2 linked regions of the Tamandua tetradactyla genome follow. The protein of the gene in region 2 purifies or fractionates together with the protein of the main gene of each other region. This does not show direct contact. Links are inferred from orthologs where the notes say so. Each region holds a gene or a part of one and is shown on either strand. Other genes may lie near its edges.

Evidence for each region. Proteins that work in one complex are often made in the same cells at the same time.
Region 1: the proteins of EAPP (region 2) and ECD purify together in Homo sapiens (affinity purification with mass spectrometry; 3 studies listed by BioGRID and IntAct, counting the BioPlex papers as one, with this or other methods). This does not show direct contact. The link is inferred for Tamandua tetradactyla from reciprocal best matches to the Homo sapiens genes EAPP and ECD.

The regions. Positions count from the first base shown.
Region 1 is NC_135339.1:23,439,274-23,446,183, reverse strand, and holds the start of ECD (protein ecdysoneless homolog), read right to left. Parts: upstream 3,013-6,910; 5' UTR 2,762-3,012; coding exon 2,733-2,761; intron 2,674-2,732; exon of another isoform or gene 2,609-2,673; intron 1,525-2,608; coding exon 1,307-1,524; intron 1-1,306. Other genes in the region: primary cilium assembly protein FAM149B1, read left to right, coding at 3,252-3,298. UniProt on the Homo sapiens protein: Regulator of p53/TP53 stability and function. Inhibits MDM2-mediated degradation of p53/TP53 possibly by cooperating in part with TXNIP. May be involved transcriptional regulation. In vitro has intrinsic transactivation activity enhanced by EP300.
Region 2 is NC_135340.1:19,477,184-19,485,030, forward strand, and holds the start of EAPP (E2F-associated phosphoprotein), read left to right. Parts: upstream 1-4,837; 5' UTR 4,838-4,953; coding exon 4,954-5,027; intron 5,028-7,847. UniProt on the Homo sapiens protein: May play an important role in the fine-tuning of both major E2F1 activities, the regulation of the cell-cycle and the induction of apoptosis. Promotes S-phase entry, and inhibits p14(ARP) expression.

The DNA.
Region 1 (6,910 bases), on a different chromosome or scaffold from region 2:
ATAAATAAATATTAGGGGGAACAAATGTTAAAATAAATTTAGTAGATTGAAATGCTGGTGATCGAAGAAAAGGAGGGGTAAGGGGTATGGTGTGTGTGAATTTTTTTCCTGTTTTCTTTTTATTTCTTTTTCTGAATTGATGCAAATGTTCTAAGAAATGATCCTGATGATGAATATACAACTATGTGATAAAAAAATAAAAATAAAAAATATATATGTGATCATTCAGTTGAACAACATTCACTAACTACTATGCTTCAAGTGCTATAATAGGAGTGGGGTTGAAATCCTGAACAAGATACAAGATACCTCAAAAATCAATAAAACAGGGAAGTAGTGAACAGAAACATAGATCATGAACAAGATACAAGATGACTATTTTTAAGGAGCTCAAGGTCTAAAAAGAGAGAGAGAAGCAAGTCATCTTAAAATGAGATGATGAACTCTACAATAGACATGCACCAAGAGCTATGTGAGCAAAAAGGAGGTGATATCTGGAAGAACGATCAGACGTGGGCTTTACAGAAAGAGGGAACAGTATGTGTGAGGGAACAGTATTTGTAAAGGCACAGAGGTAAGCACTAAACTGAGTCAGACTGATGGTAGCACAACATGCGAAGCTTTTGATTCCAAGTAAGACTCCACATAAGTCACAGGGGACTAGAGCTTTGGTCACCTATCCATGAATTATTTTACTAAATCTGTAAGAAATGATTTTTTTAAAGTACCATATTCAGCCACAGGTACCTCAAAAACGAATAAAACAGGGAAGTAGTGAAGGAAACTCAAAATGTTTCTGAGTGGCAAACAGTGGTCATAACTCCCGGTCAAATAGTGGTCATAATTCCTGGGCAAAGCCACTCTTAGATTCCCACCAAAACAACTATGTGAGATAAGGCAGCCTACTAAACACATCACCAAGAGTGAGGAATACTGAATAATAGCAAAAGGAACCATGGTTAAGGAAGCTGACTATCTGAACCTGTTTAGTATAGAAACATATATACATCATGGCATAGTTAAGTAATTAAAAGTTCAAAAGAATAGTCCTGAGATTAATACAATTGAATATATGCTAATCCTAAAGTAATGATTATTAGAAAGGTTTTCATCAACATAAATTAAAAAAAACAAAAACTTTTTTCAAGTTTAAGGATTAAAGTATGAAAGCATCACTATATAAAAAGTTCAAGACATAAATACCTTCCTGACAACAGTGACTGAACTATGGACTATTACTGCACATCACTGTTGCCAGAATGAAATAATAGAGTCATACATATCAAGTTAGGTAAAAGAGCTTTACCTTTCCCAGGTTTGTATTTGAGATTGAAAGGCTGATTTTGCCAGATATAGGGAACCAGCACAGGTGCAAACTGAGTCATTATTCTCTCAACATATTTCTGAAGAATCTCTTTGTGTTCTTCTGGATCCATTAGTTCATCTGGTATCAGGAACAGGCGGTACTCCACAGTGTCTTCTACTGTAGCAAGCCTCATAGTTTTCTCCATATTTCTTTGAAAACTGTATTTAAAATTTCAATAATGTAAACCATATAAAACAGTATTATAGTAACATCCCATTCCCAGCATTCTCCCTAGGTGATTCCATTAATACTGTTTTCCAAAATTCAGTTATTCACATGCCATCATCATTTTTGTCTCGATCATCTACCGAGTATAACATTTAGCTAAAATTACTTTAATAACTTTTTTATACTTAAAAACATTGTATCAATATCAATGGAAATCCAGTATAACATTCCCAAATTAAGTGTGAAATAAAATTTAAAAATGCTTGTCCTCACACTGTGTGCAGCATGCTCTGAGAAATTCTACACTAAGATCCACTGTTTAAACACTATCAAAAGTTCCTGTTCTCCACTAATTCGCTGTGTTGCTTTGAATACTTCACTTTCTTTTTCTACAGCTTACTATCTCTAAAATCAGACCCCAGTTTAAAACTTTATTATTTAAATGTTCTTCAGAGCCCTCTCCCTTCTATAAACATTGTAGAGCATAAGGGAATTCAAAATTATAAAATATTCACGTCCTATTGACTCACTCTGAAATACAGGTTATTCCCTGTGGGTCTCTAAAGAGAATATATCTGCCCATGGTTCTGGATCCTAAATTTGCCTGTTTTTCAAGTCTCAGGGGGCACAGCTCTGGAATCTTGAAGGGTGGTAAATAAGGCCTTTTAATCTGTTTATTGTCTAAGGGGTTTTCCCTTACAAATAAAAGTGCTACTTTAATGCCTCTAGAACTCATTACTTCTCAAAATGGTAGAATGAAAACATAGGTTCGAAGTATAGATTAACAAACTCAAAAATGAGTACTCCATCAGAAATCTGGGGAAAGTGAGACAATTCTCTACCTCCTAGGTTGCTGCCAGGTGATGCTTGGTAAAGGAAGTATGGAGGATCACCCCTCGATTCTTAGGTTTACTCGGCTTTCTAACAGAATAAAGAAACAAGGTCGAAAAGAACCTGTAACTTCTATACAGATACTCACTCACCATGGTGTGCCCAAATCATCATTTTGCCTTTCAACCCAGAAGCACAGGCAATAATTCTACCCACCGACCCATCCCCCAACGTCAAGCACACCTTATGCAAAATTTACTCTGTTAGAACTTAAAGGGACTTTGAGATCATCCAGGTTAATTCCTCTCTATATAGATGAGAAAACCAGAACACCCAAAGAGAAGCGACTAAGCAGCAAGGGCCTCACTTAGAGGGCTCACTTCCGGACCAGGCCATCCTGCATGTGACAAAATGAAGCCAATTCCTCTTACAGCTCAGGGGCCTCTTCAGTGTGTCTCTGCTGTGACTTTTCTTCCGCGGCCCCCTCCCACCACGTGACAATTCCAGGCGCTCCCCCTGGGAATCAGGGTTCTTCGGCGCCACGAGCCGCCGAAGTCTAGCCCAACGCCAGCCCCGGACGTGAGATTGGAGAGAAACTCAGAAACCGCCTCAGTCTCCGGAACCCCCAGGCGTCGTCATTGCCGCGCGTCGGCGGGAGCTTTAGGCGGGTGCCCGGATACATTCGTCACTTCCGCTCCCAGCGGGGAACGAGGGAGGGCGGGCGACTAGAGAGCTGGGCACCCTGGGGAGGTGGTGGTCCGAAGTCTAGGCGACGGGGCGGGACGAGACCGGAAGGTGAGGGAGGGGTCGGGCCGAGCCGGCTGGAGGGCCAGGCCCGGCGACCCCCACCCTGGCGTACCCGCCCCGGCCGCGACTGAGGAGGAGGATGATCTCAAGGTACACTCGGAAGGCGGCGCCACAGAACTTGGATCTGTGAGTGGACTGCTCAGCCATCCCAGCCGGAGCGGGGGGAGGCTGAGGTGGGACCCGGGCGCTCTGGGACTCTTTCTGGTCAGTCCTTCGGTGCTTTCCTTTCCCAGGGTGCAGGAGAGAGGTTTTTCTTCGGAACTCTCTCTCCCCGGCCCTGCTGGGTACTGTCCCTTTTGCCTGCAGGTAGGAACGTGTCACCCGTGATATCCTAGGACTTGGCCTTCTTGGGCTACATTTCATGAGCTCCGGGACTCGGTCTTCTAAAGCATTTGTAGCTTCCACATGGCTTCATGCCCACTGTTATTAGCAGAAGTTAATAATAGTTAACTGAGTACTAAAATAATAAAGTTAAATATATCTGGTGCGTGGCATCATGCTAAACTATTTACGTGCATTAACTCCCTTAATCTCAGCAAGGATATGAGATAGGACTGTTATTTTGTACGTTCTTCAGATAAACATCCCTGATTGAAAGATTGTAGCATGCCAAAGGTTACACAGCCAGCAAGCGATGCAGTTTGAAGAATGAATCTGGTTGTCCATCTGATTCTAAGAGTGGTCATAAGTCTTAACATAACATCCTACCTCCCCATCTCCGAATCCTCAAGATTCAGTTTTGCATTTGAGACTTGAGAGTAAAGACTTCCGGCTTAAATACCCCCTCCCACTCCCTAGTTAAGTGTCACAATGTTAATTTCTTACATTTATTGTTTTATGTTTTCAAAAGGACTTTCACATTTTGATCTTCATGAGAAGTCTTTAACATGAGTATTATTATCTTCAATGTTTTAGAAAACAAAACCATATCATAAATGTTACATATCTTAATACAAATTATATAGTAAGTAGAGTCAGGATTTGAACTTGGGATTTTTGACCCCAAATCCAAATTTTTTTCTTCACTAAGCTATAGTTTAAGCAACCACATATTTGTTAATTAAATATTAACTATATAGGGTAATCAAAAGGATGATATTTTGAGTTATATTTAGGTTTTTGGGCTATGCTATCTTCTAGCTGAGTGACTCTTGGGCAAATTACTAAATCCCTGAGACTTAATTTCTGTAATATAGGAATAAAACCTACTTCATAGTAAAATGTAAATGTAAAGTGACAGCACTTTACATATAGTAGGTATTCAATAAATATTTCCTGTTTCCTCCCCATCCTTGTTTAATACACTAGCCATATGAAAAAAATCAGTCCAAGACATCTCCTGGCCTTTCAGAAGCTGTCCTTTACTAAGGTGTAGGATATGCATGCAATAGCAATTCATATAATTACTTCTTTAGGAACTAGAAAGAAGAAGCAATCTTTTCCCAATAAGGTGAACATAGGTAAAAATCAGCTTTTATAATGAATTCTGACCATTCTGAAAGTAAAATTTAAAATGTTAATAGATATTTATAGGGCCAGAATTACTGACACTGTCTAGTTACTTTCTTGTTCTCTGTTATTAATTTCATACTGCCAAAAGATGACTTTCTAGAAGAGTCAGGATGATGTGAATAATTAAGATATATAGCATCTGAGTAACTATAAATTAAGAGCAGTGTTTGTTTTTGGTGTTATAATGATGATCTGCTTTACAGTATTAACTTTAATTTTCCTTCTAACAGTTCCAAATTATAGATGTTGAAAAGAGTGTAGAAAGAGTAATTTTAATATATAACTTAACATTTTTTAATGAGAAATTTCAAACGTAAAGAAATATATAAACAATAGTGCAAAGGGGCCGTCCCCTGATCAAAATGGCAGAGTGGGATTCTTCAGGTCCCCATTTCCCCACAGAAGCTTTGAACACCAGCAAGAACTGGCAGAAAATGTCTTCCTCAAAGCTCCAGGAAACAGTTAAAAGACTTCAATAATAGGGTGAGGGCGGGCCACGGTGGCTCAGTGGCAGAGTTCTCGCCTGCCATGCCAGAGACCTGGGTTCGATTCCCAGTGCCTGCCCATGCAAATAAATAAATAAATAAATAAAATAATAGGGTGAGTTTCAAATCAAGAAATAGACTACTTAAAAGCCGTAGGATATTATGGTGCTGTGGTTGGCAACTCTGGCACCCCTCTAGCTTGACATGGAGCTGGCCCACACTCCCAGTGCAGAGCCATGGTCCTGGTTCCTGAGGAAGTGAGGTAATCCTCATGCTCATAGTCGAAACATGTATGTCTGACCCAAACATGTTGGCCTAAGAGGCTCACAGTCCCAGAACCTTCCTGTGTGTGTAAAAGGCAGCTCATAGAACTCTCTAACACAATGCTGTGGGAGAACAGTCACGTCATGCTGCCTGGGATTCCTGGCTGTAGGACACACTGTGCAGTGCCTAGGAAACTGTTTCTTAGGAAAGTGGGGACTTTCAGAACCTGGAGAAATTGCTAGGGCTACACATGCATGCCTAAGAAACTTCTGTAGAAAGGACCAGGAAGTCTCCACCCTAAGCTTTGGCCTGGAACTATTCTCTAAACTCTTTGATAAGACTGTTTAAATCATCCAGTTTAAGGGACAGAAATAAGAAAGAGTGAAGACATGACACCCAGGAGTGAAAGTCTTTCTGGCAATGTAGGATATGACTCCCAGGGTTGAACCTGGCTCTAACACTGGGGGATAGACAATGTCTTACTGATCAAAAGGGGGAAAAGAATTGTACTAACAGTTCCAGATTATAGATGTTGAAAAGAGTGTGGAAAGAGTAATTTTAATATAATGCTGTGTTAGTTAGATTCAGTTGTCAACTTGGCCAGGTGAGCATACCTAATCTTGTTGCTGCGGACATAAGCCAACGGTATGTGAACCTCATGTGTTCCCAATTACATCTGCAGTCAGCTAGGAGGCGTGTCTGCTGCAATGAGTAACGTTTGACTTAATCGGCTGGTGCTTAAATGAGAGATCACAACGTAGCACAGCTAAGCAGCTCGGCATTCCTCATCTCAGCACTTGCAGCTCAACCCAGGCCTTTGGAGATGCAGAAAGAAGTCACCCGGGGGAAAGTTGTTGGAACCCAGGGGCCTGGAGAGAAGACCAGCAGAGACCATCCTGTGCCTTCCACGTAAGAAAGAACCTCAGTGGAAAGTTAGCTGCCTTTCCTCTGAAGAACCAACAAAATAAATCCCCGTTTATTAAAAGCCAATCCATCTCTGGTGTGTTGCATTCCGGCAGCTAGCAAACTAGTAAACAATAACTTACCATTTTTTAATGAGAAATTTCAAACATAAATATATAAACAGTAGTGCGAAGGGACCCTCCTCTGGTCAAAATGGCAGAGAATTTAGTATACTAAATTCTTTTGTGTACAAAAAAAAATTGTACACAATTCTTTTGAATTTGTGGCTGAGAGAGTTCAGTTAGAATTGAGAGGCTAGTCTTACACATGCTTCAGCTAGATATTGCTGTTTACTGTGGTTTGCCAAACCTCAGCCAAAACCATTCCTGCCAACCCTAGAGAACACCTAGGGCTTTATCTGAGATTCTATAAGGTTCCATGCACTATGATTACTTTCCAGAAACCTTCAACTTCCAGTTGGGTTCCTAGGCCAGATAAATCCTGAAACACAGAGGGGCCGGTCTCTCCAGATGATCAGCTAGTTCTGTCCCCATCCCATATTATTGACAGCCCT
Region 2 (7,847 bases):
AGTCAGGGCTTCTCCCTCAGCTGGAAGGGCACATGGCGAACACGGCATCATCTAGCTTTCTCTCCTGGCTTCTAATTTCATGAAGCTCCCCGGGAGGAGTTTTCCTTCTTTATCTCCAAAGGTCGCTGGCTCGTGGACTCTCTACTTCGTGGTGCTGCAGCATTCTTTGCTCTCTCCGAATCTCCTTCATTCTCCAAAATGTTTCGTCTTTTATACGACTCCAGAAACTTATCAAGACCCACCGAAATGAGTGGAGACATGTCGTCACCTAATCCAGTTTAACAACCACTCTTGACTAAATCACATCATCCAGGGAGATGATCTGATTACAGTTTCAAACATACAGTATTGAATAGGGATTATTCTGGCTTTTTGAAATGGGATTTAGATTAAAATGTGGCTTTTTTAGGGGACATACATCCTTTCAAACCTGCACAAGAACCATCTGGAGAAAACTCAAATGGTGCCTGCTCCAGGTTCCCAGCCTTACAGGTCAGCAAAGAAAGGAGAATAAGATAGCAGTGGGGCTCTTTCTAGTGAACTGAGACTGAAAGTAACAATAATGGACATCCCAGCTTGGAGAGAGTAACTGCACTCCAAGGGCCAGCTACCCAATGAACCTCAGTGCAATCACGAAAAGAAACACCAGACAAATGAAAATAAAAAATGGAACAAAATGACTGACGGAGGCTACTAGCCCTCCTGACAAAATAAACCAGTGGTAGCCACTGGAGAGTTTTGCCGGGAGAAGAGCCCTTTCCAAGAAGGATTTTTCTAGAAGACAAAACCAGTTGATCTGCAGGTCTTTCTTAGAAGGCAGAACAATGGGAGGCACCTACAGAACTGCAGACAGGCAACACCTGGGGATAAACCAGTTTGGGTCCCAGAGAGTTTATCAGAGTAGATAAGCAGACCATGGTAATCAATGCACATCTGTTCCCCACTTTCTAAGACCCCCTCCCCATCAAGTAAAAGGGAAACTTAATATCAGCTAGTTGGAACATCTCTCCTCTTGCTTCCACTCTGGCCTTTTCTGAGTTTCCACTTCCTGCTCCCTGGGGGGTGCTCCCTTCACTCTCTGAATGGGCCCACCCCCTCCACCATTCGTACATCACCCAAGAAAGCCAGGAGAGCTAAATTGCATGAAAAGGTTTTCTTTTATCATCACATATTCACACAAACAGTGATCAAAGGAGTGGAGTTTTAATGCTTTGTTTATGATACCATGTATACATTTTTCCACCCTTCCTCCCGAGGAGAGTCGATGCCTTAATTTCTGTCTTGGTTATTATGTAGGCAGCTATGTTCAGTGATTTATTCTCAATACAGAGGAGGGGCTCTGGCCCTGGGTATCTACAGTGTGGTTTTCTGTGTAGCAATAGACCAGCAGAGCAAGAAGACAAGAGAGTAAGCAAACAAATAAGTAATATGAGGTAAAAGGGGGAAAAAAGCAGATTAAGGGATTGGAAGATGTGCTACAGAGTAGAAGTTAGGGGTAAGGACTGTTTTAGACAAGGGAGTTGCAGGAAACCTCTCTGCTTTTCTCTCTGTCCCATCTTCCTGCTTCTCTTTGCTTGCTCATTATCACATATAACCCCCAAAGAGCCACCTCAAAATGGCAGCTTCAGCCCCTGAGTTTACTTGCCCTGTTACAAGTCCTAGGAACACCAGTCAATTCTCTAGAATCACTAACTCTTTTTTTTTTTAACATTTTTTATTGTGAAATATGACCTATATAGAAAAAACAATAAAATTCAAGGTATAGGGTAGTGCGACGGTGCCTTAGCGGCAGAACTCTCACCTGCCATGCCCGAGACCTGGGTTCAATTCCCGGTGCCTGTCCACGTGAAAAAAAAAAAAAAAGAAAATTCAAGGTACATTGTACCAAATTTTTACAGAACAGATTTCAGAATTTGGTACGGGTTACAGTTCCACAATTTTAGGTTTTTCTTTCTAGCTGCTCCAAGACACTAGAGACTAAAAGAAACATCAATATGATGACACAGCAGTCATATAGAATCACTAACTCTTAATTTTAATTAGATGGGAGCAAGAATGTAACTGGTCCCGTTTTTATGGATTCATTCATTATAGAACGTAAGGATGTGCCCCTAAATAGGGCCAGGAGTCCCAGAAAAAAAAAAAGGCATCCCACTAAGTAGCTCCATCACATCACTGTGACTCAAGGGAGAATATTGTACCTCCCAAAAGAGTTCGGTGGAACAACAGTTGAAAACCAGAGAAATACATGGCATGAGAGTAGTATAATATGTTATAAAGGCTCAAAGCTGGAAAAGATCCCATGTAGAAGGAGAATCTGAAAAGGCATCATAGAAGAGGTACAGTGTGGAAGGTATCCTTATGGTCATTCCATCCAACTATTGACCCATCTGGTGCTTGTAGGTGGATCTTGGATGACAGGTAGGGTTTGAACAGTTGAAAATACAAGTAGGAGGGGTGGTATTTCAAGGGAATAGCATTAGCAAAGACTTAGTGGTGAAAAGGCATAAAATATTCTGGAATCAGAAAATCATACTGGGTATGTATAGGGGTGTAGTGGGTAGTTTGGCAGGATGAATTGAACTATATAGTGGAAGGCTGAGGATACTGCAGGCTAAGGTGAACAGATTCAGCGGGTAAAGGTGAAACATTAAGACTTTTTAGGAGGGAAATCAGCCAGAGCAGAGCTGTGTTGTGGATTACTCTGCCAGTGGACAATAGCATGGATTGTAGAGGGGAAAAGAACAAAGCAAAGCTGTCAATTAGACTATATTAACAGTCAAGGTAAGTGTTCTAGTTTGCTAGCTGCTGGAATGCAATTACCAGAAACGGAACGGCTTTTAAAAGGGGAATTTAATGAGTTGCTAGTTTATAGTTCTAAGGCCGAGAAAATGTCCCAGTTAAAACAAGTCTAAAGAAATGTCCAATCAAAGGCATCTAGGGAAAGATACCTTGGTTCAAGAAGGCCGATGAAGTTCAGGGTTTCTCTCTCAAGTGAGAAGGCACATGGCGAACACAGTCAGGGTTTCTCTCTCAGCTGGAAGGGCACATGGTGAACACGGCATCATCTGCTAGCTTTCTCTCCTGGCTTCCTAATTCATGAAGCTCCCCGGGAGGTGTCTCCCTTCTTCATCTCCAACGGTCACTGGTTGGTGGACTCTCTGTTTCGTGGTGCTGCAGCATTCTCTGCTCTCTCTGAGTCTCTCTGAATCTCTCATTCTCCAAAATATTTCCTCTTTTATAGGACTCCAATAAACCAATCAAGACCCACCCAAATGGGTGGAGACATGTCGTCCCTTAATCCAGTTTAACAACCACTCTTGACTAAATCCCATCATTCAGGGAGATGATCTGATTACAGTTTCAAACATACAGTATTGAATAGGGATTATTCTACCTTTAGGAAATGGGATTTATATTAAAACTTGTCTTTTCTTAGGGGGCATACATCCTTTCAAACCAGCACAGTAAGGGGTGGGGAAATGGGGTGTGGATGAGACAGGCTGAAAAGAAATTTGCAAGACTTGGGAATTGAGGACCTATAAAGGGGCAGAGAAAGGAGTCAAGCACGATTTCAAGACTTTCAGCTTATAGTAGTTGTGAGGATGCAGGAAGTGACATGAGCAGAAATCATGTGTCACAAGTAACTTTTGGCTGAGAAATTGGAATGGAGTGGAAAATGTTGAATCAGGTTTGAATGGGACTTTGAGTTACCAGTGGTGCAGCAGGTAATTGAAAATCCAAGATATTATCAGAAGAGAGCACAGGGACCAAAGATATGTGTCATCTGGATGGGATCATGAGCAAGAGAAATGTCTGGGTAGAAGGCAGGAAACTGAGTACAGGCTGGTACAGACATAGAGAAGGAAGTGATCTCATGATCAAGAGTTTGTCATCTGCCTCATCTTCTCAAGTACAGAATGGGATCCGATGAGTGCTAAGAAAAGGTTGGGACTGAGAAAAGGCCATGGAGGTGACTGGTGACAGCCTAGCAACTTTTTGGTAGACAGCTGGGGCTGAAGTCAGACAGAGAGGAGTGAGTAGTGTAAAAGTGAGGCAGCAAGCTGCTCAGTGAAAGAATGCAGAAGGGTGTGGTAGTTAGATTCAGCTGTCAACTTGGCCAGGTGAAGGCACCTAGTTCTGTTGCTGTGGACATGAGCCAATGGTAGGTGAACCTGCTGATTATATCTGCAGTCGGCTAGGAGGCATGCCTGCTGCAATGAATGATGTTTGACTTAATTAATTGGTGCTTAAATGAGAGAGCACAATGCAGCACAGCCCAAGCAGCTTGGCATACCTCATCTCAGCACTCGTAGCTCAGCCCAGGCCTTTGGAGATGCAGAAAGGAATCAATCCCGGGTAAATTGTTGGCCTGGAGGCCTGGAGAGAAGGCCAGCAAGATCAAATGTGCCCCCCACATAAGGAAGAACCTCAGTTGAAAGTTAGCTGCCTTTCTTCTGAAGAACTAATGAAATAAATCCCCTTTTATTCAAAGCCAATCTGCCTCTGGTGTGTTGCATTCTGGCAGTTAGCAAACTAGAAGAAAGAGCTTGAGGCCAGGAGTGTAGAGAGAGATCGGGTATCAGCATCTAGGGACGACTGGCTTCAGGGTTCATATCCCTCAGCATCTAGATTTCTGCTTCAAGACACCTCACGCAGGTGAAATGTGACACTACATATCGAGTGTTTACCTCAGAGACTGCCACTTAGGAGGGTACCAATGACTATCTTGGGAGGATTAAGGGAATTGTTAGTTCCCTGTAAGCACAACCCACGGAGGATAACCGTGCTACACTGGGACAGATTCCCCTCGCAGGGCCTGTCTGCGCATGTGCGCAGGAAGGACGCGGTCGTGCGGCGGAAGTGGAGTCGGCGACGCTTTAGGGAAGGGAACGGCGGAGTAAACATCCTCTGCCCACCGCCTGTGGACTGTGTCGGCGGGTGGAGGCCACCATGAACAAGCTCTTGGATGATTATGACCCCTATGCGGTTGAAGAGCCCAGCGACGAAGAGCCGGCTCTAAGCAGGTGGGCCCCCGTCCCGCCCCAGTCCCCGAGGCTCCGACCACGGCCGGGCCTTCTCCTCCTCCTCCTCTTGCTGCGCCTGCTGGGCCTGTGCGGACTCTGGGTCCTGGAGTTCGGTCGCCCGACGTGCCCAGCGGTTTCCTGTCGGAGACTGAGGGAGCTTCCTGGTGGGGATCGCGCAGCCCCGGGAGGCGGGGCCGATATCGCCGCGGGGCAGGTCGATATTACGGAAATCACGGTGGGGGTGGGGTGGGGGTGGGGGTGGGGGGTGGGGTGGGGCTACGTGTAAATCTTCAAAAGCGGTGAGACCGAATCGTGTCTCTGCAGCTTGCTAGCGGAGTGACCTAAGGCAAGTTACTTATTCTCGGTTTTTCACCTGTATAATGGACATACAGTAACTGTGTTGTAAGTTTGTTGTGAGGTTCACGGGGCATGAAATGCCCATCTTGAAGACCAAACTTCCATTAAGAAATACGAGGGAATAAGGAATATTGCACAGACTTTGAGTACCTGTTATTTACTACTTGACTCCAGAGGTCAGCCACAAGAGCCTTAACTTCTGCAGGCTTAGGGTATGGTAGAAAAAATAAGACAAAATATGTATCTCGAAAGAGCTTTTCAGAACATTTACATCACTCCAGAAAAAGAATAAAAAGAAAAAAAACCCATACATCCCATACCCCTTACCCCTCCCTCTCATTGACCACTAGTATTTCCATCTGATTTTTTTTTTTACCCCCAGTCTCCCCTGTTATCTATGTGTCCCTTATTTTTTTACTCATCTGCCCATACCCTGGATAAAAGGAGCATCACACACAAGGCCCATGAATAGTTTTTTGTGTGAACATAAGTTTCATTTCACTAGAATAAATGCCCGTTGGTGCAGTTGCTGGGTTGTATGGTAGTTGCATGTTAGTTTTTAAAGAACTACCAAACTGTTTTCCACAGTGCCTACCATTTTACATTCCCATCAACATGTAAGTTGTTAGTTCCTGGTACTGCTTAAAATTGTCTCTTGCATCCAACACTTTGGAAACACTGCAGTATAGGGCATGTGAGAATTTCTGAACTTTAACTCCATTTACATTTGGTCTGGATAATTCTTGATTGTGGGAGGCTGTCCTTTGCATTGAGAAATATTTAGCTGCAATCTCTGCCAGTTGCTCCAGTTGGGGTAGAGAAAGAATAATAGTGAAAGGTGAAGTTGAAAAGATAAGTTGGAGCCAGATTGTGGAAGGCTGTTTTCAATGCTATTCTCAGAGATTTGGCCAATTGAAGGTCTAAGTTGGATAATGACATGATCAGAATTCTTTAGGAAGGACATTTTTGGCAGCAAGGTTAAGAGTGGAATGAAACAACTATATTTTAGGTACCCTCCCTTAAACTATGTTTAAAATTTTTTCTAGTCTGCTAGTCTAACAGGAGTATAAACAATTCAAGAACAGGGAAAAAGAATATATTTTGAAATATGCAGAAATGGTTGCTGTATGAAGTGAGAAAAGCTGCATGTGGTATGATAGATGTATCAAATGCAATCTTGTAAATTTTTTTTTGCATGGGCAGGCACCAGAAATTGAACCCTGGTCTTCAGTATGGCAGGCGAGAACTCTGCCACTGAGCAAACATGGCCTGCCCTAGTAATTATTTTTTTAAACTTTTTTTTTTTGTATAGTGTAACATATATACAAAGCAAAGAAATAAAAAAAGCAGTAGTTTTCAAAGCACTCTTCAATAAGTGGTTACAGGATAGATCCCAGAGTTTGTCATGGGCTTCCATATGATCCTTTCATATTTTTCCTTTTAGCTGCTCCAGAATATAGGAGGTTAGAGGGCTTAATACTTTTTTTTATCATCACAGTCGACTTTTTTCCTTCTTTTTTTGTGAAAAATAATATATGTACAAAACTATAAATTTCCAAGCACAGCACCACAATTAGTTGTAGAACATATTTCAGACTTTGACGTGGGTTACGCTTTCACAATTTTAGGTTTTTACTTCTAGCTGTTCTAAAATAACTGCAGACTAAAAGAGATATCAATTTAGTGATTCAGCATTCATATTCATTTGTTAAGTCCTATCTTCTATATATAATTCCACCATCACCTTTGAAATTTCCATACCTCTCCTTAGGGTATTTGGGCTATGGCAATTCTAAATTTTTGATTTTGGAAGCGTCTGTCACTAATACGGGATAGGGAGATGGAACTATCTGATGTTCTGGAGAGGCTGTGCTAGGTTTCAGGACTTATCTGCAGCAGGGTCCCATCTGAAGGTTGTAGATTTCTGAGAAGTTACACTAGTGTCTGGAACCCTTGTGGAATCTTATATATTGCCCTAGGTGTTCTTTAGGATTGGCTGGAATGGTCCTAGTTAGGGGTTGGCATGTTATGGTAGGTAGCAAGGTCTAACTGAAGCTTGTGTAAGAGCAACCTCCAGAGTAGCCTCTTGACTCTATTTGAACTCTATGCCACTGATACTTTATTTTATTTTATTTTGTTTTCAGTAGGAAACCTCTAACTTCATTTTTCTTTCTCAGGATATTTTTGGCTATTTGGGGCACACTGCCCTTCCAGATAAATTTTTTTTTATTAATTAAAAAAATATATTACCAGAAAGAAACACAAACATTCTTAACATATGCTCATTCAGTTCTGCATATATAATCAGTAATTCACAATATCATCACATAGTTACATATTCATCATCATGATCATTTCTTAGAACATTTGCATCAATTCAGAAAAAGAAGTAAAAAAACAACAGAAAAATAAAATGAAAACAGAAAAAAAAATTATACATACCATACCCCTTGCCCCTCCCTT